Linked DNA regions of Saccharomyces cerevisiae S288C. The gene in region 4 interacts genetically with the main gene of each other region. Each region holds a gene or a part of one and is shown on either strand. Other genes may lie near its edges.

Evidence for each region.
Region 1: mutations in YMR155W (region 4) and NUP192 together harm fitness more than expected from each alone (negative genetic interaction), as found in Saccharomyces cerevisiae (one large-scale study listed by BioGRID).
Region 2: mutations in YMR155W (region 4) and GPG1 together harm fitness less than expected from each alone (positive genetic interaction), as found in Saccharomyces cerevisiae (one large-scale study listed by BioGRID).
Region 3: mutations in YMR155W (region 4) and BCD1 together harm fitness more than expected from each alone (negative genetic interaction), as found in Saccharomyces cerevisiae (one large-scale study listed by BioGRID).

What each region holds. Positions count from the first base shown.
Region 1 is NC_001142.9:366,298-377,213, reverse strand, and holds NUP192 (Nup192p), read left to right. Parts: upstream 1-3,414; coding exon 3,415-8,466; downstream 8,467-10,916. Other genes in the region: IRC18 (Irc18p), read right to left, coding at 1-552; LOH1 (Loh1p), read left to right, coding at 1,440-2,099; FG-nucleoporin NSP1, read right to left, coding at 8,841-10,916.
Region 2 is NC_001139.9:279,406-285,400, forward strand, and holds GPG1 (Gpg1p), read right to left. Parts: upstream 1,753-5,995; coding exon 1,372-1,752; downstream 1-1,371. Other genes in the region: mRNA-binding protein NAB2, read right to left, coding at 1-1,118; DEAH-box ATP-dependent RNA helicase PRP43, read right to left, coding at 2,229-4,532; protein kinase COQ8, read left to right, coding at 5,037-5,995. UniProt on the Saccharomyces cerevisiae protein: Gamma subunit of a guanine nucleotide-binding protein (G protein). G proteins are involved as modulators or transducers in various transmembrane signaling systems.
Region 3 is NC_001140.6:182,403-189,524, forward strand, and holds BCD1 (Bcd1p), read left to right. Parts: upstream 1-5,521; coding exon 5,522-6,622; downstream 6,623-7,122. Other genes in the region: PUT2 (1-pyrroline-5-carboxylate dehydrogenase), read left to right, coding at 1-1,302; RRF1 (Rrf1p), read left to right, coding at 1,664-2,356; MSC7 (meiotic recombination directing protein), read right to left, coding at 2,473-4,407; VMA10 (H(+)-transporting V1 sector ATPase subunit G), read right to left, coding at 4,771-5,112, 5,275-5,277; SRB2 (Srb2p), read right to left, coding at 6,729-7,122. UniProt on the Saccharomyces cerevisiae protein: Required for box C/D snoRNAs accumulation involved in snoRNA processing, snoRNA transport to the nucleolus and ribosome biogenesis.
Region 4 is NC_001145.3:563,335-570,694, forward strand, and holds YMR155W (uncharacterized protein), read left to right. Parts: upstream 1-5,216; coding exon 5,217-6,860; downstream 6,861-7,360. Other genes in the region: YIM1 (Yim1p), read left to right, coding at 1-859; FG-nucleoporin NUP53, read left to right, coding at 1,101-2,528; RIM13 (Rim13p), read right to left, coding at 2,665-4,848; TPP1 (polynucleotide 3'-phosphatase), read right to left, coding at 6,966-7,360.

The DNA.
Region 1 (10,916 bases), on a different chromosome or scaffold from region 4:
ACCAGCCTCTATCGTTGTTGCAGCGACTACTCTACTGATCCGTGAGAGCACCTCCTTCTTTTTCTTTTGTTCCTCTGTCAATTCCCCGCCCTTCTTGGCAACCAGATCATACTTATTCAAGAGGCTTTCAAATTTCTTTGTTGAAACGGTCTTGAATTTTTTTATGTACTTGAACGGAGATATATTTACTGCTCGGTTTAGGCCCTTAGTTAGCTTCCCTGTTTCTGTTTCAAATGTGTTATTGCCAACAGTTTCCATTTGGATTTCCCTTGTTAGCATATTCACCTTGTTATTCAATATACCATTTAAACCCTTTAGAATAAAAGAGTGGTTACCATACATATCTTTAACTTCCTCTATTTGTCTCTCGATTCCAGATATTTTTTCATCAACACAGACAGAACTCTGCGAGTAAGCAGCCAAGACCCTTAATGAGTTGACCAGTTTGGTTCCGGTACTTTCGAATTCAACCACTGCTCTACTACTTGCTAATACAACGGTAAGCAAACACAACTGGATCAGAAAAATCCTTTCTATCATTTGTACTTTCATCTTATAGTTTTGTGACTATGGCTGTGATTATGATTTTTATTGGAAAAGCAAAAAAAGTACTGTAGAGACAATTAGAGATATATGACCCATAAAAGAGAAGTTAAATGATCGAAGAGTATACAACTCTATAATGTAATCTGTATTAAAAAAGATTTTCAGAAAGGTTTAATATTGATCTTCATTTGGGAGGAAAACAAGAGATTTACTTCGAGCAATTTTGGAATATAAAAATGATTTACTTTATGTTCGATAGAAAACCCTAGAGTGATTTTGTGTCTCTTCTAAACGCACCCTGTGGTAAAAAATAAAGGAAAAAAATGATTTCAAATATGACTAGGTTGTGGCGCCAATGATCAAGTTTTTTTTTTTATGAATTCTTTTTTGTGGTCACAACGACAAATTATTATCACCGATTTAGTGTCATTTTTTTTCATTTCTCTTAAGACTCGTGTACCCTTTTCCAAAGGCAAAGGCCCTGCGAAAAACAAAGTAGAAGGGAAAAAAATTACTAAGATACAGTGTAAGCTATGCTATGTATTCAATCCCCCTTTTTGTGGTTTTCTCATTCAAGCAGCTAATTATAGGGCTACGCATTGCCGCAGAAAAGGCACCTATGGTGAATGTTGTTGCAATCGGCTTAAATAATTGTGAAAATATGGAAGATATGTCTTGCAGAGATTAGTTTGAAAAAGTACTACAAAAATAATTTTTATACTCAATTATACTACTATCCAATACATAAATATTTATTATCTTGGGATAAAAATAAAAGAATTATTTTTTTTGCTTTTTTAAAGACTATAAAAGTGTAAACTGTCAGTAAAAAAAATAGACACCACAAAACAATAAGTGAAGATAAAAGAGCCTAGTGAAGTAAACTAATTCAAATGAGGTTCCAGCTTTTCATATATTTTTATTTCACCATTGTTGTGATTGCAGGAACTAACACAATACAACAGTTCAGCGATGCGGGCGATAGGTTAATCACATCATTGAGAAATCTGGACAACAATGGAACATACGAAACATTGACAGCAGAGAAGGTGCCTATTATCGAGGGACAAATTCAAAACATTAGTGCAAAATATGAGCAGCATACTTTTATTTTGAAGGGCTTAGAAGCGGTGCTAAATTATAAAGTGAAAAGTTTGGATAATAATGAGAGAGAGTCGCTCGAAATAGAATATGAAAAGGTGGAAAAGGCACTAGATGCGGCTTTGAATGTTTCACCATTTGAATATATCAAAAAGTTTAAAGAAGTCTCCAGGGGCAAGGTAGTTAATGCTTTAGAAAACCTCAGTAGAGAACAGAATCGAATTACTATAAATGGTGGTAGAGAAGACGAAAAAGAAAAAGAAGCGAGGGAAAAAAAGAAACGACTAGACAGAATAAAGAGAATCCTAACTGTAAGTCTGTTAGAATTGGGTCTAGCTCAAGGAGTGGCCGATTTATGTGCAGTAGCACCTTTTGCGTGTCTTCTTGGGGTGACAGTTGGAAGCATCGGTTTCATATTTTGGTTGGCACTAATATATAATGCTATTCAATAACTTGAACAGTTGTACTAAGGCAGTTTAAGTCCATTATACTGTGCGCATGCACCGGCATAGCTGCCGCCGCCTATTCATCCATGACTGTTTATATTTCTGTAGCTAGCTCTCTTTTCATGAAGCGCCATATATATTATTTTTTGAAAGCTGAAAGATAGAAACTATAAATAAAATAAAGCCGAGAGAGAGAAAGACCCAAATAACCTTTAATATTATAGCCTTTAATAACAATGGAATTACAACAATTATCTAATTATTCACCTGCATCCCAAAAATATTAGTCGTAGCCAAGATGAACCAATCGATGTGTGTTATATGTACCTCTGCTTTGCAGTATAAGAAATTTACATTTATTTCTGACTAATAACACCTTGGTGCCCCAACGGTAAACAACTTGTATCAGTTCTCATAAGTGCGGCCATTTTATGCAATACAGGCTGCATTATTTCACCAGCCGTGAAAATCCGAAAATTGTAGTAATTGAAAGCGTAATTAGGTTTTACTATAATAAAGTAGTAAAACCTTCAACAAATAGTAGCTCGCGTGGCGTAATGGCAACGCGTCTGACTTCTAATCAGAAGATTATGGGTTCGACCCCCATCGTGAGTGCTTTGTTTCTTCCGTGATAGTTTAATGGTCAGAATGGGCGCTTGTCGCGTGCCAGATCGGGGTTCAATTCCCCGTCGCGGAGATTTTTTTGGCTACTCCTGTAGTTATTCTTCATTAATGCTTTGTTAACCTTCCTTAGCATTAAATGCAATAGCAGCGGCTCTTCAAAGAATATGAAGTTTATTGGCGTATAATCAAGTGATAGCATTCACAGCACCGTGTTGTTAAGGGGCAATTTACGAAGAGTCTCAGTTTATGATAGTATATACACGTTAAGGTCCCAGCAAGAGCGTAGTATTTCACGTAAATATTCTCTTTTGGGTAAAGCACTGGTATACATATATAATAATAATTAAACTGAAACGGCTCACGAGTCTAGTGAGCCCATTCTAACTACGGTCTTCATCAAAGTCCTTCTCGGGCCGGGTAGTATGATTCCGTTTTCGTCTTTTGATGAAAATAAATTTTCTGCTGGAAAATAACAAGGTTAGTTTGTAAGTGTGATGTAGTATTTAGTAAATGCGCCCATTGCCTTTCAACTAGTTTACCAATACCTTTCTTAGCCACTTAGTTTACACTATACTTAATAAATTATTTCCTCAGGGTACGCCAATTAACAACACGCCTCCTAAGCACGAAATATATATAACTTATATCACTTGGCATCTAACCTAGTTGAAAAGATTTGTTCCGCAGATAAGAAAAAATGAAATGGTCTGCAATTCCTTTCCAAACATTGTATCGCTCTATTGAGAGTGGTGAGTTCGATTTTGATCTGTTCAAAGAGGTACTTCCTGACTTACAAAATTTGAACTTAAACACAGACAAACTAAAAAACAATGCTAGCCGATCACAATTAGAAAAAGGTGAAATTGAACTATCCGATGGCTCTACTTTTAAGGTCAATCAGGAGTTTATTTTCGAAGCTATTTCTTTGTCCGATGAATTAAACTTGGATGAAATTGTTGCATGTGAACTTATACTTTCTGGTGATACCACCGCTAATAATGGCAAAGTACAATACTTTTTGAGAAGGCAATATATCCTGCAAATTGTTTCTTTTATAGTCAACTGTTTCCACGAAGATACTGAGTTATACCAAGAGCTTATAAAGAATGGAGCTTTAGTTTCTAATATCCTCTCAGCCTTTAAGTTCATTCATACTCAATTATCTGAGATTAAACAACAAATCAATAAGGCTCAGATACTAGAAAACTATAATGCTTTATTCCAACAAAATATCAAGTTTAGGAGAGACTTCTTACTGAGAGAATATGATATTCTGAGTCAAATTTTATATGGTTTAGTGGATAAAGGAGCCATCATGAAAAATAAGGATTTTATACTGTCCTTACTTCATCATGTGTCAGAATTGGATTCCAATGATTTTTTTATAATATATTATACTCCTGCATTTTTCCACCTTTTCGCATCTTTAAGAGTTTTGCCCGATGCAGATGTCAAATTATTACATTCTCAGTTTATGAAAGACTTAAAGGACGACTCCATATATACCAAACCGGTCAAAGTAGCTCTTATTTTCATTTTTTTTGCTTACTTCATTGGGTGGTGTAAAGAAGACCCTAAAAGAAGGGCTGACACGATGGATTTCAAAACTGATGTTGATGAGCCAATGACTTCTGCCGTCGAACTAGGCGCTATTGAACAAATTTTAATATTTGCCGCAGATACATCTATCGTGGAACAAGACAAGAGTATGGAACTTTTCTACGATATAAGGTCCCTGTTAGAAAGGCATATTCCAAGGCTAATTCCTAAACAGTTACTTGATGATGAAAAAATTTTCAGTCAAACGACGAATTCTACCTACAACCCAGCATCCGCAACTGATAATATGAGCGGACGCGGCTTATGGAATCCGTCTTATCCTGGGATGATGTCAACCACGGGTACCGCTCGACTAAATAGTATGCCCAATAACGTCAACGAATATTCTTACACTACTATAGTTTTATCCGATCAGACCCAAGAATTTTTCCTCTCATCCTTTGATGATGTGCTTCAAACTATTATTACAGATTGTGCCTTTTTGCTTACAAAGATTAAGGATGCTGAGGAAGACTCTTTGTTGTCCGGTGAAGACTTAACTTTGGATGACATCTCACTAAAGGCTGACTTAGAAAGATTTTTTCTGTCAATATATTTTTTCTATGCATCAAGGCCCGAATATTCATGTACTTTCTGGTCTGATAAGGAATCAAACGCTTATGGTTTTATTGAGTGGTGTTCGAGATGCAACGACAACTTGATGAGGTCTTGTTTCTATTTGATGGTTTCTAGCTTGTCCTTTGGTCCTGAAAATGCCCTGAATGTCTATCACTATTTTGGCGAAAACAGCTCGATTTCATGGAAAAACATTGCACAGTGTCTCAGTGACTACACTAAGAAAATAAGCAATTTTAACTCGAGCCTCCATAAGAGGCAGCAGTTTAGTGAGTCAACTCATAACGATATCGATTCGACTGCGGTAGCCTTAGAAGAAGGCTTAAATGAAGAAGCTGTAATATTTCTGTCTTCTTTATTAACTTTAGTTGGATCAGTTACATACCAGGTTGACGAGGATGTAAAAAGCTCGCTATCGAAAGTTTTCTCAGATGTCCTATTCGAATTCACCAAGATAAATACACCTCTCGTAGGCGCTGCTTTCAAGGTTATAAGTAACTTGGTTCCAAAACTTGAATCTTCTAGAACAAAATTTTGGTCTTTTCTAGACTCTCTAATTTTCAAGGATTCATCGCTGAATTATTCATCCGAATCTTATAGAAATGCTTTTACAAACGTGTTAACAAAATACTCTGACGTTTTGGGGTTTTTACAACTCTTCCATAATCTGATTTCTATTCATTCTCGTGAAAATAATAGTGAATACATGGTTTTTGGCAAATTGGCATTTCCAACAAGATTAGGTCAGGGATATAGGAAGGTAGGTATATGGCCATATTTTGACTACATTTTCAACGACATTTTAGCGCACGTGGATCAAATTGTTGATATCAGAAATAAAAGAGCCGTCCAGCTTCCTATTTTGAAAATTATCTATACGGGCTTATGCTCTTTTGATTACAGTGTAATTTTAAATTCTATTCCTGCAGCTGCGAATTTGGATGCTTTGGTGGATTGCGAAAATTTCTTCAATTACGTTCAAGAATGCCCAGCTATCCCCATATTCAACTATATTTTCACGGAAAAGATTTACAAAAGTATATTTAATGTAGTTGATGTTGGTGTTGATCAATTGTCCATAGAGTTAGAAGGTGGCAAAAATCAGGCTGAATTGTTGCAGTTAGCTGTGAAAATTATCAATAAAGTATTGGATTATCAGGAGACATACGTGGAAGAATTATTTCCAATTGTTAAGAAGCATGGCAAGACGGATTATTTCTTGCCAAAGAATTATTCTCTTCACGGATTACGTTCATTTTACGATGCAATTTTTTTCAATATTCCACTTGTTGCACACTTGGGTTTATACGTCGGGGTCGATGATCAAATTTTAGCCACAAATTCACTGCGTATTTTGGCGAAACTTTCAGAACGCTCTAATGGCTCCGTTGCGTCTTTGTCTAAGAGAAATAAGTTGTTAACAATATTCGATTCCGTAGATGAATCAGCCAGAATAAAGGATGCATTTATTACACAATTGGAAAGCTCAATAACCGACGCTGGTGTCCTTGCTTTGAAGTTAGAACTATTAGATTTCTTAACATCAAATCTTTCTAATTATAGTCGAACGATGACTATTTCTCATCTGTTATTAGGTTTCCAGGTCTCAAACGTTATATCCCTGGGACCTAACCTAGCAACATTTATATCTTCCGGAACCTCATTACTTGATTCCCTCATAAGCGTGTTGGAAGCTTCATTGAACAGCATTACTAAGGACAATATCGATTATGCACCTATGAGATTGGCTACAGCAGCACTGGAAATTATTCTCAAACTATGTCGTAATCCGTTAACATCTGGTCTACTATATTCATACCTAATCAAAGAAAACTTTTTTGAGAGAATAATGATCCTCGATCCACAAGTGACAAGGTTCACGACATGGAACGGCTCTCCTTTTGACAATTCTACAGAGGAAAAATGTAAGAACTTCATCGAGAGCGAATCCGTTGGTGCATTTCTGTCATTCTTAGCCTACAGGAATTATTGGACACAATATTTGGGTCTGTTCATTCATAAAATTTCATTTTCGGGCACGAAATCAGAGGTTTTAACATATGTGAATTACTTGATATCAAATACAATGTATTCGGTAAGGTTGTTTTCTTTCTTGGATCCATTAAACTATGGCAATATCTGCGAACCAAAAGAGACGTTATCAATTTTCACCAATGTTCCTTTAAATTTGGAACAAGTCACTCTTAACAAGTATTGCTCCGGCAATATCTATGACTTTCACAAAATGGAAAACCTTATGCGCCTGATTAAAAGAGTCCGTGCTGAAAGCTTACATTCTAATTCCTTCAGTCTCACTGTGTCAAAAGAACAATTTTTGAAGGATGCAGATGTCGAGTGTATAAAAGCAAAAAGCCATTTCACGAATATTATATCAAGAAACAAAGCATTGGAGTTGAACCTATCTGTGCTGCACTCTTGGGTACAGTTGGTGCAAATCATTGTTACTGATGGAAAATTGGAACCATCAACAAGATCAAACTTTATTCTGGAGGTTTTTGGTACAATTATTCCGAAGATTAGTGATTATATTGAGTTTAATATAACTTTTTCAGAAGAATTGGTTTCTCTCGCCGTTTTCCTATTTGATATATATAACCGCGATCGTAAGTTGATTACCGACAAAGGCACGGTAGACGGCAGGCTATATCAGTTGTTCAAGACATGTATTCAGGGTATAAACTCCCCACTCTCCTCTGTGGCATTAAGGTCCGATTTCTATATATTAGCAAACCATTATTTGAGTAGAGTTCTAAGCGACCAAGTAGGGTCCGAAAAGGTTCTGCAGGATTTGAGACTAGGAAGTAAAAAATTGGTAGAGATCATATGGAACGATGTTGTTTATGGCGAGGGAACTAGTAGGGTTACAGGTATATTACTATTGGATTCACTTATTCAACTGGCTAATAGAAGTAAAGAGAATTTTATATTGGATTCACTGATGAAAACTACAAGACTGCTCTTAATAATACGTTCGCTGAAAAATACAGATGCTTTGTTAAATTCTACTACAGAGCACATAAACATTGATGATTTGTTATATGAATTGACAGCTTTTAAAGCCACTGTATTCTTTTTAATACGTGTTGCCGAAACTAGAGGTGGAGCTAGCGCTTTAATTGAAAATAATCTATTCCGAATAATCGCGGAATTGTCATTTTTAAAAGTTGATCCTGATTTGGGTCTAGACCTTATGTTTGACGAAGTCTACGTTCAGAATTCCAAATTCTTAAAGGTTAACGTCACCTTGGATAATCCGCTACTAGTTGACAAAGATGCTAATGGTGTTTCCTTGTTTGAGTTAATCGTTCCTATATTCCAATTGATATCAGCTGTTTTAGTGAGCATGGGGAGCTCAAACAAAGCTGTTGTTCAAACGGTAAAGGGTTTACTGAATACGTATAAGAGGCTAGTGATCGGAATATTCAAAAGAGATCTTTTGAGGGAAAAAGAAGATAAGAAAAATTCGTCGGATCCTAATAACCAAAGTTTAAACGAAATGGTGAAGCTAATTGTGATGTTATGCACATTAACAGGATATCAAAATAACGATTAAGTCATTCATTATCACTTTTAAGAATTACTTTTAGGAATCGATTTCATTTTGCAAAATATTTGGTTGTGTACTAAGTACTAAGAAGAAACTATCACAAAAAGTGGCTTTTAGTTTCATACACTACAGAAGCCTTTCTTTGGTTCTGATTTGGTGCGTATTTACTGTCTAATGAAATAAAAATCCAGGTCGTTTACAGATCGGCACGACACATTACAAAAACTTCTTGAAAAAGGAAAAAAACAAGTATGATTGAGGTGTTAAATTAATTGCAGGTTCTGAACCATCGCGTACATTTTGATACCTATATATAATTATTTAATATAGCACATCCTATGTCAAATAAGTGTAGAATAGAGGGAATTTTTTCTTTTAGATCATTTCTTTATCGAGTTGATTTGTTTTTCCAGAGAGGTGGAGTTATCGTCTAGTGACCTTAAAGCGTCGAAATGTGAATTCAAGATTTTGATTAGTTGAATATTTTCGTCTTCATTGTTTATATCGATGTTAGTGGTTTTGTTGAATGTATTACTAACATTGTTGATTTCTACTATTAGAGAAGAAAGATTGGATGACAACGAGTTTAAATTTTCGTCCAAAGTCTGGGCTGTCTTATAGGCCTGTTGTCTTTTTTGGTCATTATTGTTGGCCGCAGCACCTGAACTTGTAGACACAACATCGGACAGAAGTGCCTCTGTCTTGGTTTCAAAATTGTCTAAGAAGTTTTCTAATTCATCCTGTTGCCTCTCGATATATTGTAGAGATTGATCTATTTTGTTTTGACTATGTTCCGCCATCACAGCATCTGAGTATAACTGACTAATTTGTTCACCTCCTTTCACTAGTACCTGATCCCAACTATTAATTTTTTTGGTATACTGTTCAAAATGAGAGGCCGATTCTGTTAGTTGGTTAGTCCATTTCGTTACTAAATCGTCCAGTGTTTTATTGTCGAGAGAAACTGGCTTCAATTCTACTGGTTTAGAATTTAATTTCAAGCTATCACTTGATTTGACATCTGCGGTTGACTTCCCCGTAGAAGATTCCTCTGTTTTCTTCTCATTATCTTTTTGAGCACCAAAAGTAAACGCTGGCTTGCTCGTATCACTGGATTTCTGTTCTTCGGGTTTAGCACCAAAGGAAATGGCAGCCTTCGCCCCATCGCCTTCCTCCTTTCCTGTAGGCTTAGAACCAAATGAAAAGGCTGATTTTGATTCATCACTTTCTTTCTTTTCGTTAGCCTTTGCTCCGAATGAGAAGGCAGGCTTGGAGACTTCATCATTCTTCTTTTCATCGGGTTTAGCACCGAATGAGAAGGCAGGCTTCGAAGAACCACTGTCCTTTTTTTCATTCGATTTAGTACCAAATGAGAAGGCAGGCTTCGAAGAATCACTGTCCTTTTTTTCATCCGATTTAGCACCAAATGAGAAGGCAGGTTTAGAGGCATCGCCATCCTTTTTCTCATCGGACTTTGCTCCAAAAGAGAATGCCGGCTTGGAAGTTTCATTGTTATTCTTTTCCGCGGGCTTGGCACCAAAGGAAAATGCTGGCTTAGCCGTTCCATCTTGCTTGTCTTCATTTGATTTGGCACCAAATGAGAAAGCTGGTTTTGAGGAATTATCATCCTTCTTTTCTTCTGGCTTAGCGCCGAATGAGAAGGCAGGCTTAGAAGTAGCACTAGCTTTATTTTCATCCGGTTTAGCGCCAAAAGAGAAGGCAGGTTTAGAGGCATCACCATCCTTTTTCTCATCAGACTTTGCTCCAAAAGAGAATGCCGGCTTGGAGGTTTCATTGTTATTCTTCTCCGCGGGCTTGGCACCAAAGGAAAATGCTGGCTTAGCCGTTCCATCTTGCTTGTCTTCATTTGATTTGGCACCAAATGAGAAAGCTGGTTTTGAGGAATTATCATCCTTCTTTTCTTCTGGCTTAGCACCGAATGAGAAGGCAGGCTTAGAAGTAGCACCAGCTTTATTTTCATCCGATTTAGCACCAAACGAAAAACTTGGGGTTGTGTTAGTTGTCTTATTGTCGGATGTTGCAGTACCAAAAGAGAGGGCTGGTTTTGCTGGTTCATTAGTTGTAGGTTCGGGTTGCGAAGCTCCAGCTGGGTTAGCACCAGCTGATCCTGAACCAAATGAAAGGGAAGGCTTTGCAGCCTCGTTAACCGTTTTGTTTCCACCTAGTTGTGAACCAAAGGAAAATCCTGTAGTGGGAGCTTGAGCGTCTGTCTTATTACCGACACTTGAATTAAAGGAGAAAGCAGGCTTGTCTGGTTCTGTTTTTTTATCGTCGTTAGTGGTTGCACCAAAGGAAAAGGCTGGCTTATTCGCATTTGCGGTAGCGCCAAATAAGTTATTACTTGTGTTAGCATTACCGGTCGAGCTAGGAGTTGTGTTATTGCCGCCGCCAAAATTCAAACCGCCGAACGCAGGTTTTGTCGTATTGCTATTAGT
Region 2 (5,995 bases), on a different chromosome or scaffold from region 4:
TTGTCACACCACATTAGATCAATGACTTTCGCATCTTCATTTGCTGGTGTTGGATGACCAAATGGGCATGATGGATTGGAACACAGAGCCCCAAATTTACACAGAACGATACCAGTTTGTACCGGTTTCCTTTTTGCCGCCAATAAATCAGCTTTTCTTTTTTGAAATTCTTCACGAGTTCTTTCCATTTCCTTCATCAACTCTTCATCTTCATTTGGATGTAAAAACTCACAAGTTCCGGGAGGCTTTGGACAATTTGGATATTCATTACATACCTTAGTTGGGTGTGCATGTGGGCATGATCTACCAAGAGGACAGTGAGGAAACAATCTGCAACGCCCCTCTTTCTTGGTTGGAGTGAAGTTCATATTACTCTCACCCGCCATTCCAAGTGCTTTTGCTAACGGATTAAAACGTGTGGAATTATTGTTGCGTCCTCCACGGTTCCCACCGCGACCACCTCTACGATTCTTTCCAACGGCGCCTCCGCCACGTTGAGTGAACCTTTGGCTGTTATCTACAGGCGCAAACTGAGGGGGAGCTGCAGCGTTAACAACGCCGGAAAAGGCTGATATGGGGGATGGAGTTGCAGGAGCATCTGTCTGCATTGCATTCTGGGTCCCTAGTTGTGGCTGAAGTGGTTGAAGTTGAGGTTGCTGTTGAGGTTGCTGTTGAGGTTGCTGTTGAGGTTGCTGTTGAGGTTGCTGTTGAGGTTGCTGTTGAGGTTGCTGTTGAGGTTGCTGTTGAGGTTGCTGTTGCGCGATGTCTGGTTGCTGTTGTTGTTGTTGCTGTTGTTGCTGTTGTGCGATATCCGATTGTCCCAAGCTTTGCGCATTCATCATTCTAATTTTGGAAACAATATTTTCAGCACTTTCTCCCTGTTGCAGAGCTTCTAATGCGAAAAAGGCTGTTTGAACAACATTTGCAAGCGTATCTCTCGAAACACTATCAAACAAACTAGCCAGCTCGTCTACGACAGATTCAACAGTACCACCGTTAACGATCAATAAGACAATATACTCCGCAACATACTTGATATCTTCGTTAAAGTTTGGTATACCAGCCAGTTTTTCGGCAACGATAACCTTCAAGTTTTCTGTGTACTGTTCTTGAGACATTTCTGATGTACTTCCACTTCCTTATGATCAGAGATAATTAGAAACCACTATATTTAGATGTTTTATGGAAGTATTTGGAAGAAAGATGTGTAAAATTTTGTATTTTTCCCATTTGCCACCAGCGAAGCGAATATCACTATTTCCCCGCTTCGTATTTTGTGTAACGATGTACGAGAATACAACAATGTTTATATAATTGTATATGAATGTTCTCTTCACATTAAACTCTGTGTATAAGGTCGCGTTGAGCAAGCTAGTGATAGAACCTTCTCCTAGGATACATAGAAAGAGTGTCATCAGTTCTTGTTAGCTCTTCTTGTAACTGTGTGAACAAATCGTCGATGTCCCAGTCCAGTTCTGACATTTTCATTGAAAGCACATCCCTATATAAACGTCTCGCCTGGTTCCTTTTTTCTAGCAAAAGTGCTAACAAAGATGGCAGTGTTGTGGCAGTAACTTCCCTTGATTCAGGCTCAATTTTGTAATGAACCACACGATCGGTAAGTGTGTGCAACTCTCCGACAACGGTGACGAGGTTTTCTTGAGTATTGGAGAATAACAAAACTTCCCAGAAATTATAAGTTGGTTCAGCCCCAGCCGAGGCTTCTTCCTCGATGTCACTTAGATAAAACATGATTGCTACTTAAAAGATTTCTTATCTTCTCTGTAGTTCAAATTAGATAGTGGAAAATAAGTTTTCTTAATATACAGATATATGCGGTTTACCCCAAAACTACTTTGATGGGAAGCCAACATCCTCGTTGAAATTGAGTGATTAATTTCGTTGCAAGAGTAAGATGCTCGTTTTAAGCATCGTTAAAGGAGTAATTTACCTTTACGGTAATCTTTGCCATTTTTAAGGGAACTTCCTCACACCGCGGTTTGTTTCTTTATTTGTTCTTGTAAAAACACCTCGAAGGGAATATAGGATGTGCTCTATATAGACATACCCAACAAAAGAAAAAAGCTTCTTTTTGATACAGGGCGCTATGATTTTAGTACAAGCAGCTTTAGGTTACGTGTACCTATTTCTAGTTGAATTTTCTCTCTATGAAATAGTCCTATAAATTTATATAAATCTATTTTTTTTTTTTTTTCGACACAAAATGTCTATTTCTTGGAGTGCTTACTCTTCTTTTTGTTTTTACCTTGTTTCAACTCGTTTAATCTATCAACTTTTTCCTTGATCCTTTCCAAAGATAATTTGACATCACCTTTTTGGAAATTGCTTAAGTCGTAGTATGCAGGCGCTATTTCAATCAGCCATTCGGGCCTGACCGAGGTCACAGTTCTTATGTAGTTCTTCGATGTGAGCACAAATTCATTGTAAATGACCCATTCTGCGTCGTGGCCAAGAACCGTACTAGGATGGATCAGAACATCTTGGTTATCTTTAACTGTGATGTATCCTTTAGCTCCCGATCTTTTTTTTGCTACTTGCATGAAAAACCCAGACGCAAGAGCCTTTCTGATGTTGTCAAAGTATTTAGGGCTTTCATAGTCTGTAGTGTTTAATTCTAGGTTGTAACGGTTCATTAATCTTTCTAATTGGGAGCGGATATTATCAGCAGCGGAAAGGGACCTGTAATTTAGATAGTGGTCACGGCACCACTTATGGATACCATATTCATAAGCTTCATCCGATTTGAACGCATGATATACATTTAGTAAGGTGATATGATCACCGTCTGGATGAGCAAAGATATTCTTGGCATCATCTGCTCGCTTCTTGTCCTTTGTTGGGCGAATAAACACGTTTGGAACCGATAGCATGGCCACTATAGTTAGTATTTCTTGAGAACATTGGAACTCAAAGGACCCAATTAACATCACCGCTAGCATAGGATCCAAGGGAAACTGGGATGCCAATCTACCTAGGGGTGTTAAGTTACCTTCGTCGTCCAGACATGCCAAATAATTTAGTTCTTCAAGGGCTCTCATCATTGTTTCCGGAGCCGGTGGATCCATAAAATCGAAATGGACCAAGTCATCAATACCTAATTTTTTTAGTTCTAGAACGGTGGAGGATAAATTGGAACGTAAAATTTCTGGGTAACTTTGCTCTATCAGTTCCTTTTGGAATGCCTCTTCAGTGTATAATCTGAAACATTTACCAGGCCTTGTACGACCAGCACGACCAGCTCTTTGTTGGGCAGAAGCCTTGGAGATAGGGGAAACAAGTAAAGACTCAACTCTAATTCTTGGATTGTAAACTTTTTGCTTTGAAAATCCTGGGTCAACGACGTAGACAATACCATCAATTGTTAAAGAAGTTTCAGCGATGTTCGTGGAGATAACAACTTTCCTGCCTGGTCTACCATTATGTGACTCTGGAGCAGGCTCGAATATTCTTTGTTGTTGATGCGGTGGTAATGAACCATACAGTGGGTATACGGATAAAGGTCCGCATCCCTCTTCTCTAACCAATTGATCACCTTCTAAGGAAATCTTTCTGACAGCGTCTTCAATTTCATCTTCACCAGTTAAAAATAACAAAATATCGCCAGCCTCTTCAGTGGCATGAATTTGCAAAACAGTACGAATGGCAGAATCTAAATAGTCCCTTTGAAATTCCGGTGTATAGTATAGCTCAACTGGATATGTTCTGCCCGGAACGGCAAGTAATGGAGCATCGTTGAAGTAGCGTTGGAACTTCTCTGCATCCAGAGTAGCAGACATAATAATTATCTTCAAATCAGGTCTCCTCTTGACTACTTGCTTCAAAAGACCCATCAAAATATCAGTAGCTAGTGTACGTTCGTGCGCTTCATCCAGAATGATACATGAATAACGCGACAAGTCATGGTCTTCCATTGCCTCTCTCAACAACATACCATCAGTCATATACTTCAATATCGTTTTATTAGAAGTTTTATTTTCGAATCTGATAGAATAACCAACTTCTTCGCCCAACTTGACATCCATTTCCTCAGCAACTCTCTGTGCAACAGACATTGCTGCGACACGACGAGGTTGAGTACATGCAACTTGAGTGTTCTCTAAGTGTGGCATCTCATCGAATAAAACGAATTGAGGAATTTGTGTCGTTTTACCGGAACCTGTTTCACCAACAAAAACCATAATCTGGTTATTTTGATAAAGTTTTAAAAACTCATCTCTCTGGGCATGTACTGGCAATTCTCTTCTAATTTTCAGGATATCAACATATTTTGGTGTAAACTCCCTACCGGTAAATGGATTTATTTTTCCATCTTCAAGTTTTTGGGCCTCTTCTGCTGAAGTATGGTGACGTTGCAAGCCCTTGAATTCACCAGCATCATGATGGACAAGTGGCTCTTCGGATGGAAGAGGATGCTGTTTGGATAATTCTTCCGCAATCTCGGCGGCCTGCTCAGGAATAGAGGTCTCAACTGGATCCGGGTGTTCGGACGAGAATCTTCTTTTGGAACCCATTATTATTCTTGCAGTCCTAATCTTTCTATGCGCGTTTATAAGGTTATACTATCGTTACTCAATCGCATCCCCGTAAACGTGTTAAATATTACAATTGAATAAGTTTCTTTTCACCTCATCTCGCATTTGAAAATTTTTCAGAGGCACCGAAAAAAAAGAAAAAGAAATAAAAAAGGACTTGTGTATAAGATCGCTAGATCAATAAAAAGCAATCTGGTAGATTTATGGGACTCCGAAATGATACTGTCAGTTGAAACAGCAAACGAATACAGAGCGTAAAACTAAACGACCTTAGTTTGGAAAATGATGAAATTTGTCCATAACTATATACTATCAGTCAGCAAACTATGATCCGGGTAATATTCATTTGTAAAGCTTTAGATCTGTAATAGTACCCAGTACTTTTTTAGATGATCTTAATTAGTTAAGATCTTTCTGGTACTGTACTCAGTACGCTTCCTTGGCATCCTTATTGGGACCTGTTCGGCTAAGATATCGTTCGATATGGTTACAAATATGGTGAAATTGAGGAATTTAAGGAGATTGTATTGTTCATCCCGTCTCTTAAGAACTATACAGAACGGGAGAATTTCTTCTGTTTCTTCAATATCGTTGAGTAAGAAATATACTACAAAATCTGCCAAAGAAGGTGAAGAAAACGTAGAAAGGAAGCATGAGGAGGAAAAAAAGGATACATTAAAAAGTTCCAGTGTACCAACTTCACGAATATCGAGATTGTTCCATTATGGCTCACTGGCAGCAGGGGTGGGCATGAATGCCGCAGCAAAAGGCATATCGGAAGTTGCAAAGGGCAATTCTCCCACTTGGAAATCTTTGATTCTATCAGATTCGAATATTGACAGAATTACCAATAAATTTTCTAAAATGAGAGGTGTTGCCCTTAAAATAGGGCAACTATTGTCTTTTCAGGATGAGAAAGTGTTGCCAAAGGAATTATACGAAATTTTATCAAGGGTACAGAATAGTGCAAATCATATGCCTCAAAGGCAATTGGAAAAGGTTATGGCCAAGGAATTAGGTGCTAATTGGAAGACAAAGTTTTCCAAATTTGACAAGATACCTATGGCAGCTGCTAGTATCGGACAGGTACATGCGGCAGAGTTGCCCAGTGGTCAAAGAGTGGTTGTCAAAATTCAATATCCTGGGGTTAAAGAATCCATTGATTCGGATTTGAATAGTTTACTAATGTTACTTACAGCCTCAAGTTTATTACCGAAGGGATTATTTTTGGATAAGACAATTGCCAACGCTAGAACTGAGTTAAAATGGGAATGTGATTACAACAGAGAGGCTAGAGCTCTACAAAAGTTTGAGGCGTTGCTAAAGGATGACCCAGCGTTTGAGGTTCCTCATGTGTTTCCTGAATATACAACCGATAATATTATAACTATGACACGTATGGAGGGAACTGAAATAATGAAATTGCCCAAGGCATCACAAGA
Region 3 (7,122 bases), on a different chromosome or scaffold from region 4:
ATGTTAGCTGCTACAATGCTGGGCCAGGGAAAAAATGTGTATCAGGCAGAAATCGACTGTATCACGGAATTATCTGACTTTTTTAGATACTATGTCAAGTATGCATCAGACTTGTATGCTCAACAACCCGTAGAGTCAGCGGATGGTACTTGGAATAAAGCTGAATACAGACCTTTAGAGGGATTTGTGTATGCTGTTTCACCATTCAACTTTACTGCTATTGCTGCAAACTTGATTGGGGCTCCAGCTTTGATGGGTAATACAGTTGTCTGGAAACCTTCACAAACCGCTGCCCTTTCAAATTACTTATTGATGACTGTTTTGGAAGAAGCGGGATTGCCAAAGGGTGTCATAAATTTCATTCCAGGTGATCCAGTTCAAGTTACTGACCAGGTATTAGCTGATAAAGATTTTGGTGCCTTGCATTTTACCGGTTCTACAAATGTCTTTAAGAGTTTGTATGGCAAAATACAAAGTGGCGTTGTTGAAGGGAAGTACAGAGATTACCCCCGTATTATTGGTGAGACAGGTGGTAAAAATTTCCATCTAGTTCACCCAAGTGCAAATATATCACATGCAGTACTCTCTACTATTAGAGGCACTTTCGAGTTCCAAGGCCAAAAGTGCTCTGCCGCTTCCAGGTTATATCTTCCAGAGTCAAAAAGTGAAGAATTCTTATCCGATATGTTTGGCATATTGCAGTCACAGAATGTTGTCCCAATGAACACATCCGCAAGTCCAATTTCTGGTGGGAATTTGCGGGGATTTATGGGTCCTGTCATCCATGAACAAAGTTTCGACAAATTAGTTAAAGTAATTGAAGATGCAAAGAAAGACCCCGAGTTGGAAATTCTTTACGGTGGACAATACGATAAAAGCCAAGGTTGGTTTGTCGGACCCACAGTCATAAAAGCCAAGAGACCAGATCATCCATATATGTCAACAGAATTTTTTGGCCCTATATTAACTGTTTACGAGTATCCAGATACTGAATTTAATGAAATCTGTGATATTATCGATAATACGAGTCAATACGCCTTAACTGGTGCTATTTTTGCCAAAGATCGTAAAGCAATTGAATACGCAGATGAGAAGTTGAAGTTTAGCGCAGGAAATTTCTACATAAATGATAAGTGTACTGGTGCCGTTGTTTCTCAGCAATGGTTTGGTGGCGCAAGAATGAGTGGTACCGACGATAAGGCTGGTGGTCCAAACATTTTAAGCAGATTTGTCAGTATTAGAAACACAAAGGAGAACTTCTACGAGTTGACTGATTTCAAATATCCATCGAATTATGAATAAAAAAATTTTTGTGGAATAGAACCGCGAATGCAGTCACTTCATCCATCAACTCATGTAAATGTTAGATTATCGAAAAAAGGGTTTTGATTACTTCATTAGGTTTTTTTAGTTTTACAATTTTAATTTATCTAGGTAAATAGTTTAAAAATATTCATTGAACCAACCGTCCAAATTCCCGTTCTATATTCTGTCATGACTTACTTATTCACGTTGCTATTTATTCGCCGCATATTCATTCTGTTTTTGGCATAAGGACCCGTCCGGAAACAGAACATCAATTTATTAAATACGTCCATTCGTAAGCTTAAAGATGGAAACTTTGGCGAGCAGTCCCTGACAAGAAAAATAACAGCAAGAAATAATGATTTTAACCACAGCTAGATTAAATTGTAGACCAGTCACCGTTCCTCGTCTATTTAATCGTTCTTTTAGTCAATCTTTCATAATTTTGAAGAAAAAAAGTTCTACCCCTACTGAGAAAGTCGAAGAAGATGAAATTGACGTGAATGAACTGCTGAAAAAGGCAGAAACTCAATTCAAAAAAACTTTAGAAATTCAAAAACAGAAAATGAATGAGATAAAACAGGGAAATTTTAATCCTAAGGTATTCAATAGTTTAGTGTTCAAAAATAACAGAAAGTTTACAGATATTGCTACCACATCCTTGAAAGGTAAAAATGCACTTTTAATAACAGTTTTCGACCCCAAAGATGTGAAAACTGTGATCAGTGGGGTGCTTGCTGCGAACCTGAATTTAACTCCTGAAAGGGTCCCAAATAACGATTTGCAATTGAAAGTTTCGTTACCACCACCAACTACAGAATCCCGGTTAAAAGTAGCTAAAGACTTAAAGAGAGTATTTGAAGAATATAAGCAGTCATCGCTAAAAGACTCATTAGGAACTATCAGAGGCAGTATTCTAAAGGAATTCAAAAGTTTCAAAAAGGATGATGCCGTTCGAAAAGCTGAGAGGGATTTGGAAAAACTGCATAAGGATTACGTGAACAAGCTTCATGACCAATTCCAGAAAGTTGAAAAAAGCATTGTAAAATGAGGAATTTCGTAACGTGTATAGAATCAAAAAATCATAAATCTTGTACATAAAAAGTTCATTTTATATAATAATAAATACCAAATTATTGATAAGTTTGTTGCTTCCTCTAAAGTAAACTAGCTGGCTTCTTTAGCTAAAGAGAACAGTGACTTTATTCTTTGCCATGTGGAATTTGTATAAGCTCCTACGATGAAACTCTTTACAAAATTCCAAGCCTTAGCATTGTTACGAATAGGGTAGTCTAATGGTTTTGGAATTTGAGTGGAGACAAAAGGCAAAGTATCAAAACAGACACTTTTGGCATTGCACAAACCCAAAAGACCTTCTTCACCACCAAATTTACCGTAACCTGAACCATTGATACCACCAAATGGTAATTGACAAACATAGAATGTAGCAAAATCATTAATGGCTACATTACCAGTTTGTAGGCTATTTGCGACGTAATTGCATTCCTTGATATCCGCACCAAACACAGAACCACCTAGACCAAATGGCGCAGAGTTGGCTAGTTGTACACAATGGTCAGTATTCTTAGCTTTCATCATGACTAAAATTGGGCCAAACACTTCGTTTTGTGCTATTTTCATTTCTGGAGTGACATCCACCAAAAGAGTTGGTTGGAAATAATGACCTTGTGGATACTTTGGATGTTTGAAGCGGGAACCACCTTGAAGTAAACGAGCTCCCTTTGCAACAGCATCTTTAACCAAAGCTTCTAGTTCATCGAATCTGTTGTCAGATATCATTGCCCCCATATCAACATTTTCTAAATGATCAATATCAGACCCTTGGCGTAGTGGATTTGCAGTCATACGGTCATTCAAAATCTTGACTAAATCATCATAATTTTCCTTACTGACAATAACCCTCTCAATACCAATACAATTTTGACCGGATGATTGGAAAGTACCCCTCATGATGATAGAAGATAAAGCATCTAAATTCTTAGCTGAGTCTAGGACAATAAACGCATCCTTACCACCAAGCTCCACAACTACGGGTGTCAATGATTTGGCAGCGCATTTTAGAATATAGTGCGCTACGGGCTGACTGCCAATAAAAGTGATATGTTTGAAACCAGGATGAGAGGTGAAATAATTTGCGGAATCATCATTTTCAGTTGGAGGTAAACAATAGCACAACTGAACCAAATCTGGATCTTCATCACAAGCTTCCAAACATTTGCGGATCAGCTCGACGAAAAATTCCGAAGACCAGACAACTTGTTCTGAACATTTTACTACAATGGCATTCCCTGTGAACAATGCTGCAATAATTGGACCCAATAAGTTATGGAATGGATAGTTCCAGGAAACGATAGAACTGATCACACCCAGTGGTTCATAACGGATTTCTGCACCTTTATACCACTTCATGAAAAAATTAGTGGGGCCCGGACGTCTCGAAGGTTGCAACGCTCTTTGGCCGTGCTTTATAGTCCATTGAATTTTTTCTAAAGTAACCAAGATTTCACCCATCGATGCGTCTAACATTGTCTTTCCTGAATCCCTGCACGCTACTCTCGCAATAAGATCTTGATTATTTAGAATATAATCATGCAAAGAAGCCAAAACTCTCAATCTTCTTGAGAAATCAGAATTGCCCCAAGTAGATTGAGCTTTGCCTGCCTTAGAAACCATTTCATCTATGTCAGCTTCCGTTTTCGATGGAAAAGAACCTAGATATTGACCTGTGGCGGGACAATGACATTGAATAAAGTTTGGTTCTTCAGGATTCCATATGTTAGTGGAAACAGACCTCTTGCCCTTCCAATTATTTTGAGCGGCCTCTGGTGCAGGAAGGGAGAATTTGACTGGCTTATAGGACGAGGAACACTTTGCTGGGGTGGAGATTATCTTGACCAAAACATACAGAGTGAAAATTGAGGCAACTAGCGTTGTAATGCCTATCAGTTTTTGGTTATCTTGAATAATTTGGGGTTGAGAACGCATTATTGCGTTTTGCTTCTCCAACCATAAGTTAAAGTAAGCTTGAACTGTGGAGTTCAAATGGTTAATCATGTCTGAATTCAGATAGACCTTGGACATGATGAATAAACGTTCGATAAAACAGAGGAGAAACTGAACGTGAACTGTGAAAAGAATTCTACTATTCTGCAAATACTATTATAATTATATAGTAATCCCCATCGGCGTTTAGTATTTTTCGTTAATAAAATAAAAATAGAGAGACCATACTTTCTCCTTTACAACCGATATACTAAATAACACATTTTTGATTATACTACTACTCGTTTAGCAGATAGAGAAAAAAAAAAAAAAAAAAAAAAGGCTGAATGGATAAAGCGAGAGTCGTAAAGACCGAATGCAATGTCAGTTTATACATTTTTATTCTATTGGTATTATATTATAAAAAGATATATGATTAGAAAACTAGAATGTAATGCAATATTACAAGGCATTGATATGGACTTCAGCAGAAGGCTTGATGACAGTCTCGATCAAAATTTTGACAACGTCATCCTTTTTCTTCTCTGCAATTTTCTTAATCTCAGCTAATTCACCTTGCACACCAGCCTCTGCTTTCTTTTCCAATTCACCAACACCACCGGCATTCTTTTGTTCAAACTCCTTCAATTCCTTGTCTTTTTGAATTTTGTATGAGTCGATTTCCTTGGCTGCATCAGTCTTGGCTTGCTTCAACTTATCTTGTCTGTACTTTCTAGCCTTTGATACTATTTCGTGGGCTTCCTTTTCAGCTTGTAGTAGGGTGGCAATTCCGTTTTTTTGGGACTAAAGAGAATATTACATAGTTCTGAGCAACAATGAAAAAACCAATACCTTTGTCACGAGGTACCAGTCCAACAAGAGAGCACAGTTTTAAAAAAGTTTTTCATGTTAGTAAGAACGCTTGTTAGAGACAGAAGTGTTGACACGTAATGTAATGGCACATACCATTCTGCTTTGTATACCTTGCACACTTTGGAGATTGCAGGAAAAAAAAAAATGTATTGTTTAAGGTGTGATTGCTTTATCTATCACGCTCCCTTTTAGAGATGAAATTTTTGATACCCAAGGCAGGGTAACAAATTGAAAAAAAAAAAAATTCGCGGTAATAATAGTGGATGTCAAAGTTCATATTCGATGAGATGAGCTGGAATAGGAGTCCAGTTAATAGGGAAGGGTGTGGCAATTTGCAAGTATGGCGGTGTTGTGTGGTGTATGCGGAATAAAAGAGTTCAAATACAAGTGTCCAAGATGTTTGGTGCAAACTTGCTCTTTGGAGTGTTCCAAGAAGCACAAGACAAGGGACAATTGCTCAGGTCAAACACATGATCCTAAGGAGTATATATCGAGTGAGGCGTTGAAACAGGCGGACGACGACAAGCACGAACGAAATGCTTATGTCCAGAGGGACTACAACTATCTGACGCAGTTGAAGCGAATGGTGCATGTACAAAAGATGGATGCTAGAATGAAGAACAAGCGGGTTCTGGGGCCTGTGGGCGGCCACAACTCTAATTTCAAGAAGAGAAGATACGATATAGATGAGGATGATCGTGATAGCACGGAGTGTCAGAGGATAATTAGGAGGGGGGTGAACTGTTTGATGCTACCCAAGGGGATGCAGCGATCATCGCAAAACAGGAGCAAGTGGGACAAAACGATGGACCTATTTGTATGGAGCGTGGAGTGGATTCTATGTCCTATGCAGGAAAAGGGTGAGAAAAAGGAGCTTTTCAAACATGTCAGCCACCGTATCAAAGAGACAGACTTTTTGGTGCAAGGGATGGGCAAGAACGTTTTCCAAAAATGCTGTGAATTCTATCGCTTGGCTGGAACAAGCTCTTGCATAGAGGGCGAAGACGGTTCGGAGACCAAAGAGGAAAGAACACAGATCCTACAGAAGAGTGGGCTCAAATTCTACACGAAAACGTTCCCTTACAACACCACGCATATAATGGATTCAAAAAAACTGGTGGAGTTGGCTATACATGAGAAATGCATCGGAGAATTGTTGAAGAACACCACAGTGATCGAGTTTCCCACGATATTCGTTGCCATGACAGAGGCTGACCTACCAGAGGGCTACGAGGTGCTACACCAGGAACCCCGCCCACTTGAGCATACGAGTACACTGAACAAGTTTATTGACAATGCAAGGGAGGAGGAAGACGCTGAAGAGGACTCTCAACCGACAGAAGAACCTGTACAGAAGGAAACACAGGACGCCAGCGACAGCGACAGCGACAGCGACGATGACTACAATCCGGGCTTATCCATGGATTTCCTCACTGCATGAGCCGAGATACATAAGGTTGAAGATTACTATTTAGACTATCTATCTATACGTATACACCGCAATATACAAACAGAAAAAAAAAAAAAGAAAAAGCATTCGTAAGAACTCACAGCTCCAGAGCACGAACATACTGGTACGCCAAATCACATATTTCGTTGCTGGTGTCCGGCCCCAACGAGTCGGATGAGGTTTTGTACTCCTTGGCCCGGATTTCAGCTAGGTGTCCTTCGATGCCTGCAATCTTGGTCTCAAACTCGCCCGCTTCGTCCGCCTGCAGTTCTATCAGGAGACCCTTGAACCCAGTGGAGGAGAAGAGGTTGACGAGTCGCACGGTGAGCCCGTCCAAGATCAACGTCTCACCGGCATCACCCTTGATGAGCTGCCTCTGCATCCAGATGTTGGACAGCTTGGACGACAAAATAGTGTCTATGGACTCAGGAACGCCCGTAGATGAGCCATTGAACACCAGCGCCGGAGGGATATCCGCCGCTGCGGCAGTC
Region 4 (7,360 bases):
AGCGGGAAAGGATGTCGACAATCGCTGGAAGGTTGGCGACAAAGTGAATGGTATGTACAGTCATATTTATGGTGAACGTGGTACTTTAACACACTACTTGATACTCAACCCTGCCAAAGATGTACCCATCACACATATGGTGGAGGTTCCAAAGGACGAAAATGACCCATATGACGACTTTGTATATGCTGCTGCCTGGCCCCTAACATTTGGTACAGCCTTTTCTACATTATACGATTTCAAGAAAGATTGGACTTCTGATTCGAAAGTTCTGGTTATTGGCGCTTCAACCTCTGTGTCATATGCTTTTGTCCATATTGCAAAAAACTACTTCAACATCGGCACTGTTGTTGGCATTTGTAGCAAGAATTCCATTGAACGCAATAAGAAATTAGGATATGACTACTTGGTTCCCTATGACGAAGGATCCATCGTTGAGAATGTTAAGAAATTAAAGCAAAGCGTGTTGGAAAACGACAAATTTGACATGATTTTTGATTCAGTGGGTAACCATGATTTCTTCCCTGTCATTGATCAATTTCTAAAACCTAAGGCGAAAAATTCCTTTTACGTTACAATTGCAGGAAATAACAAGGCCGATTATAAGAATATCAGTTGGAGAGATTTCGTATCATTGAGTTCTATTTTAAAGGCTATAAACCCATTCAAAAAATACAACTGGCGCTTTGGACACCCTTATCCCCCCAACAACTTCATTGAAGTTGGCAACGAAATGATCAAGAAGGGCACTTATAAGCCACCTATTGATTCCGTCTACGAGTTTGATCAATATAAAGAAGCTATTGACAGACTGATGTCCAACAGAGCTAAGGGTAAAGTGGTTGTTAAGATGAAATGAGGGCAATATTTTCCACATAAACTTGTTAGTATATTTAGTTAAACTCTATAATTATAATTGTTATTAGTTTTTGTATTATTTGATGGGCATTACCCGACCGACTTGTCATGAAGTGAAAGAAAAGCTCATCACAATATTTTTAAACAGAATTTAAGATGCATTAGCTGGCAAACTACGTTTCAAATATACAGCTCAGCTAGCCCAAATTCTCTCTGCACTCTCAATAACATAGCTTTTTAAAATGGCAGACCTTCAAAAACAAGAGAATAGTAGCAGGTTCACCAATGTTTCTGTTATCGCGCCCGAATCACAGGGACAACATGAACAACAAAAACAGCAGGAGCAGCTGGAGCAGCAAAAGCAGCCAACGGGACTGTTAAAAGGTTTAAACGGGTTTCCGAGTGCACCACAACCGCTGTTCATGGAAGATCCGCCTTCTACTGTCTCGGGAGAACTGAATGATAATCCAGCGTGGTTCAATAATCCAAGGAAAAGAGCCATTCCAAATTCAATAATAAAGAGATCAAATGGCCAATCTTTAAGCCCCGTACGTTCTGATAGTGCAGATGTACCTGCGTTTTCCAATTCCAATGGATTCAACAATGTCACTTTTGGCTCTAAAAAAGATCCACGCATCCTTAAAAACGTATCTCCAAATGATAATAACAGTGCCAACAACAATGCTCATAGTTCAGATTTAGGTACGGTAGTTTTTGATTCTAATGAGGCACCGCCCAAGACCTCCTTGGCAGATTGGCAAAAAGAAGATGGTATATTTTCAAGTAAGACTGACAATATTGAAGATCCTAATTTGTCTTCCAACATAACCTTTGATGGAAAGCCTACAGCCACACCTTCGCCTTTCCGTCCACTAGAAAAGACCTCCAGAATACTTAATTTCTTCGACAAAAACACGAAAACAACGCCGAATACTGCGTCAAGTGAAGCTAGTGCAGGGAGTAAGGAAGGGGCCTCGACGAATTGGGATGATCATGCCATTATTATCTTTGGATATCCAGAAACGATTGCGAATTCTATTATACTCCATTTTGCTAATTTCGGTGAAATTTTAGAGGATTTTAGAGTGATAAAAGATTTTAAAAAGTTGAATTCGAAAAACATGTCAAAAAGTCCGTCATTGACTGCTCAAAAATATCCCATATATACAGGAGATGGATGGGTCAAGTTGACTTACAAATCCGAACTTTCCAAATCTCGTGCTTTACAAGAAAATGGGATTATAATGAATGGAACATTAATTGGCTGTGTTTCGTATAGTCCGGCTGCTCTCAAACAATTAGCTTCCTTGAAGAAATCGGAGGAAATTATAAACAATAAAACAAGTTCACAAACTAGTTTAAGCTCAAAAGACCTCAGCAATTATAGAAAAACAGAAGGAATTTTTGAGAAAGCTAAGGCAAAAGCAGTTACTTCAAAAGTGCGCAATGCAGAATTCAAGGTTTCCAAGAATTCTACTTCCTTCAAAAATCCACGCAGGCTTGAAATAAAGGATGGTCGTTCATTATTTTTGAGAAACAGAGGGAAGATCCACAGTGGTGTCCTGAGCTCGATCGAGTCTGACTTGAAGAAAAGGGAACAAGCGAGCAAGAGTAAGAAAAGTTGGTTAAATAGATTGAATAATTGGTTATTTGGATGGAATGATTTGTAATGAAAAACCTTACCCCCAAATGTAGTGCTTTGGTGCGATTCCAGCATCCTGTGATGTTCACCTACTTCAAGGTTATATAATTTTGTGTGTAGAATTGTAAAAAGGATGGATAGACAGTTCTTGAGATAAAGCACAGTTATTTTGGTATCACATCATCGGAGTATTTTTCAATTCTGATTTTTTGACTGGACCCAACAAACAACTCCAATTCATCCAATTGTCCTTCCGTAGGTAAACAACTGGAAATAGGTACACTTCTTTCTATCATCAATACAACAATGTTAGTACGAGAGACTTCCAGATCAGGTATAACGATGCCCCCAGATGGACATGTCCTATACTCTTGACATTCATAAACACAGAGAGCTGATTCAGGCTCGAAAATATTACATCGCATCCTTAATCGTGCTGATGATTCCACGGGTACTACACGTATAAAAAGTTTGTTCGTAGAATACTTTTTGGTTGGCAAAGTCATCTGAATTTTAAGTTTGTCTGAAGTTTCCTTCCAATGGAACCTGTTGCGACAATGATATGGATAAGTACCGTATATCAAGTTAACACTCCGTAAAGTTATTCCAGATATTAACCTCCATGAAGAGGATAACCGTATCGAGGCAAGTAATTCAAATTCCGTTGAGGCTGGAGGGCCGTAAGTTGAGCATACAATCATATATTTGACATTAGTTAAGATGGGCACGTCTTGTTTAAGGCCCTGCCCGGGCTGATAGTGGTTATCAAACATTATTGGCTTTATCAATTCATAGTCATTAAAGTAATATACTTGGATGTTAATTAAATCATGTGAGCTAGTTGAGATACATGCGGCGTCCATAAGTACTTGATAATCTTGTTCAGAGTGAACTTCCAACTCAAAAGTCGGATTTTGAAAAAAATTACAAGTATCAAATGAGGCTTTTCCCTCTATTTCATAAGGAAAAGAGAAAAGGACTTTGGCAAAAAGACTTTTTGTATCTTTCAATCTTTGAAAACATATTTCCTTCACAACTGAGAAAGAGTGAATACTGAAATTGTTGTTTGTTGTTGAATAACAATACAATAACCTCTCAGTCTCAGCATCTAATCTCAACTTTACCAGCTGAAGTCCAATGTGATTGCCACCGCATTCTACTGGAGGTTCAATTGGACAAATTATGCATTCGGGAGCCTCATTCAAAAAGGAAACTGACCGATTTTCTTGGCTGCCTTCATCTTGCAAATGGGATTCTAGCAATAACCATACCGTCTCTGTCACTTTAGAATTGTTTACCAGGTGAAATAAAGGTTTATCTGCAACGATAGAAAATTTATTGTAGCGTGAAGTATCGTACCGAAAATGAAGTACCTGAGAACGTTTGAATAATTTTTCTTGGTTCCAATTAAGATAAAGTTGTTTGAAATTTTTTAAATACTGTTCATAGCTGATTTCAACATTTAGTGCCGAGTTCCTCGGATCTCGCAATTTTACTAGCCTAGAATCATATGTGATATCAATTATAGAGTAATCATGGTTCTCAACTAGGGGCTTTATCATGTCATTGGAACGATTCCCGGTGCCAGCGCCCATCAGACATAAATTAGATTTGTGAAACTTCCATAATTTTTCGAAAGGATAGCTGTTTACTTGTGTTATCTCTGGTAAGAAGCCACTTAAGCGGTAAGTATCTATACTAATATTTGAGCCATCCGTGGAATATGTTCCTTTAGAAACAAGCAGTAATGCAAGCTCTCCAATTTTGTCCGAAATATCGTTACTCTTTAAAGAAAGTTGTTTGCCATCCACTGAGGTTGGGATCTGCGAAATATCTACTGTCACTAGCCTTTTGTTGCTTCCGTTAAAACTTAAATTGACGTGATATTTAGTTGATGATATTTGTTTAATTAGAGGGAGATTCAAGTTCTTAGACCTAAGATTAATTAGAGAAGCAACTAATGAGCAATCTGGCACATCTCGGCATTGTTCTATTCCGCCTGAATAGTCTTCTTCATTCTGTAACTTGGCTCTCCCTGGATAACGCCTTTGTAGTTCTTCAGTACCAGGTGCGCAATATTCGGTTTTATTCCAAGAAACCGGTGAGGCTTCTGAGATAGGTATAGGGGGATAAAACCTTGAATTAATAGTTGAAGTAAGCCATAAAAATCTTAATTGTTTATCTACTTTCGACACATTTTCTTTCAAAACTAAAACGGCCTCAATAAAAGTGGAATCTTCGCTTTTCATTGCCAAGCCAACCAATCTATTAATTATACTGCTTGAGTCACCTTCTGCATTACAATATATTGACTTTATCGCGGCATTGAACTCATGCCAATCATTCATTTTTGATACCACAAGGTTCTTGTCTTCGACTGAAATGGTCGAGTAACCGTTTAATAAGTTGTCTAGAGTTGATTATTGTGGTCCGTTTATGCCGACTAAAAGAACATTTAACTGTAGTATCATAAAATCAAAAAGGGATAAATATCCGCAAGAATACAAGAAAGAAGAAGTATATATGTTTTCTTTAAAATTTCAGAGCATAACTTGAGCCATGAAAAACCACTTCTCCTCAAGTTTATGTTGTTCCTCTATTTCCTACAGAAATATATTTACATTTGGTCGATATCGAAGATCTGGAGATAAGGTAAATAAATCCTGCGCGGTTCAAAGATACTCGATAAACAGCAACCAATGTTTCACAGAGTGCCATGGTAAAGAAACACCAAAATAGTAAAATGGGTAATACAAATCACTTTGGACATCTCAAAAGTTTTGTGGGAGGTAACGTGGTTGCCCTTGGTGCTGGAACACCTTATCTTTTCTCATTTTATGCTCCTCAGCTACTGAGCAAGTGCCACATACCTGTTTCTGCCTCAAGTAAGCTATCCTTCTCTTTAACAATAGGAAGCTCACTGATGGGAATTTTAGCAGGAATAGTTGTCGATCGAAGTCCTAAACTGTCCTGTCTAATTGGTTCAATGTGTGTTTTCATCGCGTATTTGATTTTGAATTTATGCTATAAGCACGAATGGTCTAGTACTTTTCTCATATCGTTAAGTTTGGTACTCATTGGATATGGTTCTGTCTCAGGTTTTTACGCTTCTGTGAAATGTGCAAATACAAATTTTCCTCAACACAGGGGTACAGCTGGGGCATTTCCTGTGTCCCTATACGGTTTATCGGGCATGGTGTTCTCATATCTTTGCTCAAAGCTTTTTGGTGAGAACATCGAGCATGTCTTCATTTTCTTGATGGTTGCGTGTGGTTGCATGATTTTAGTAGGCTATTTCTCATTAGATATATTCTCTAATGCAGAAGGAGATGATGCTAGCATTAAGGAATGGGAGCTTCAAAAAAGCAGGGAAACAGACGATAATATAGTACCGTTATATGAGAACAGTAATGACTATATAGGTTCACCTGTGCGTTCATCATCCCCTGCTACCTATGAAACTTATGCATTGTCAGACAATTTTCAGGAAACGTCAGAATTTTTTGCACTTGAGGATAGACAGTTATCAAATCGACCATTGTTATCACCTTCTTCCCCACACACAAAGTATGATTTCGAGGATGAGAATACCAGCAAAAATACAGTGGGCGAGAATAGCGCACAGAAAAGTATGAGATTACATGTATTCCAAAGCTTAAAATCTTCAACATTTATTGGTTACTACATAGTATTGGGTATACTACAAGGCGTGGGTTTAATGTACATATATTCTGTGGGGTTTATGGTACAAGCCCAGGTTTCTACTCCACCCTTAAATCAATTACCAATTAATGCAGAAAAAATTCAATCATTACAAGTAACTCTCCTGTCTCTTCTTTCATTTTGCGGCAGATTATCATCTGGGCCTATATCAGATTTTTTGGTCAAGAAATTCAAAGCTCAAAGACTATGGAATATTGTCATAGCATCGCTTTTGGTATTTCTTGCATCGAATAAAATATCCCATGACTTCAGCAGCATTGAAGATCCTTCTTTAAGAGCCTCCAAATCATTCAAGAATATTTCGGTATGCTCAGCGATCTTCGGTTATTCTTTTGGCGTTCTATTTGGTACTTTCCCCTCCATAGTAGCAGATAGATTTGGCACAAATGGGTATAGTACGCTGTGGGGTGTTTTAACGACTGGTGGTGTATTTTCAGTGAGTGTTTTTACCGATATATTAGGTAGAGATTTCAAGGCAAATACAGGAGATGATGATGGGAACTGTAAAAAGGGAGTGCTTTGCTACAGCTATACTTTTATGGTTACGAAATATTGTGCCGCTTTTAATCTTTTGTTCGTTTTGGGGATAATTGGATATACGTACTATCGAAGAAGAGCAACTGCAAATTCCCTGTAGACGGTGTCATCCTGACATTGCTTTCATATTCTTTTTCACCATCACAAATGAACATTTTAAGAAATATTACTATATACTGGTATATATTCAACATTTTACAACGGACTACCCGTGAAATATTTCCTCAGGGTACTTGAATTCAACGTGCAAGTTTTCAGCAAACTTTATGTCAGAATCACTGAAGTCCTTTTTCCTCCCAGCAGCGTCACCGCAATAATATATCCAATTCAACTTGATGGGAGAAATTTGTTCTGAAACCCTGTATGCACTTTCCAGGTCCCTTTTAAAAAACTCTACCATTCCTGTCATTGGTTTTCGAACTTTTTCGAATATGTTAGGATCATTGTTATAACTTTCACCTAAGCTTGCGAATGTGATCTTACTATGATTTGCTGCAAAAGTTTTCGGCCTTTTAGGTGCTGCATATAGCCATAACCTGTGTGATAACGTTTCTCCTCTCTCATCGTTTTTGATTGCCTTTAAAAATAGCAAAATTTTAT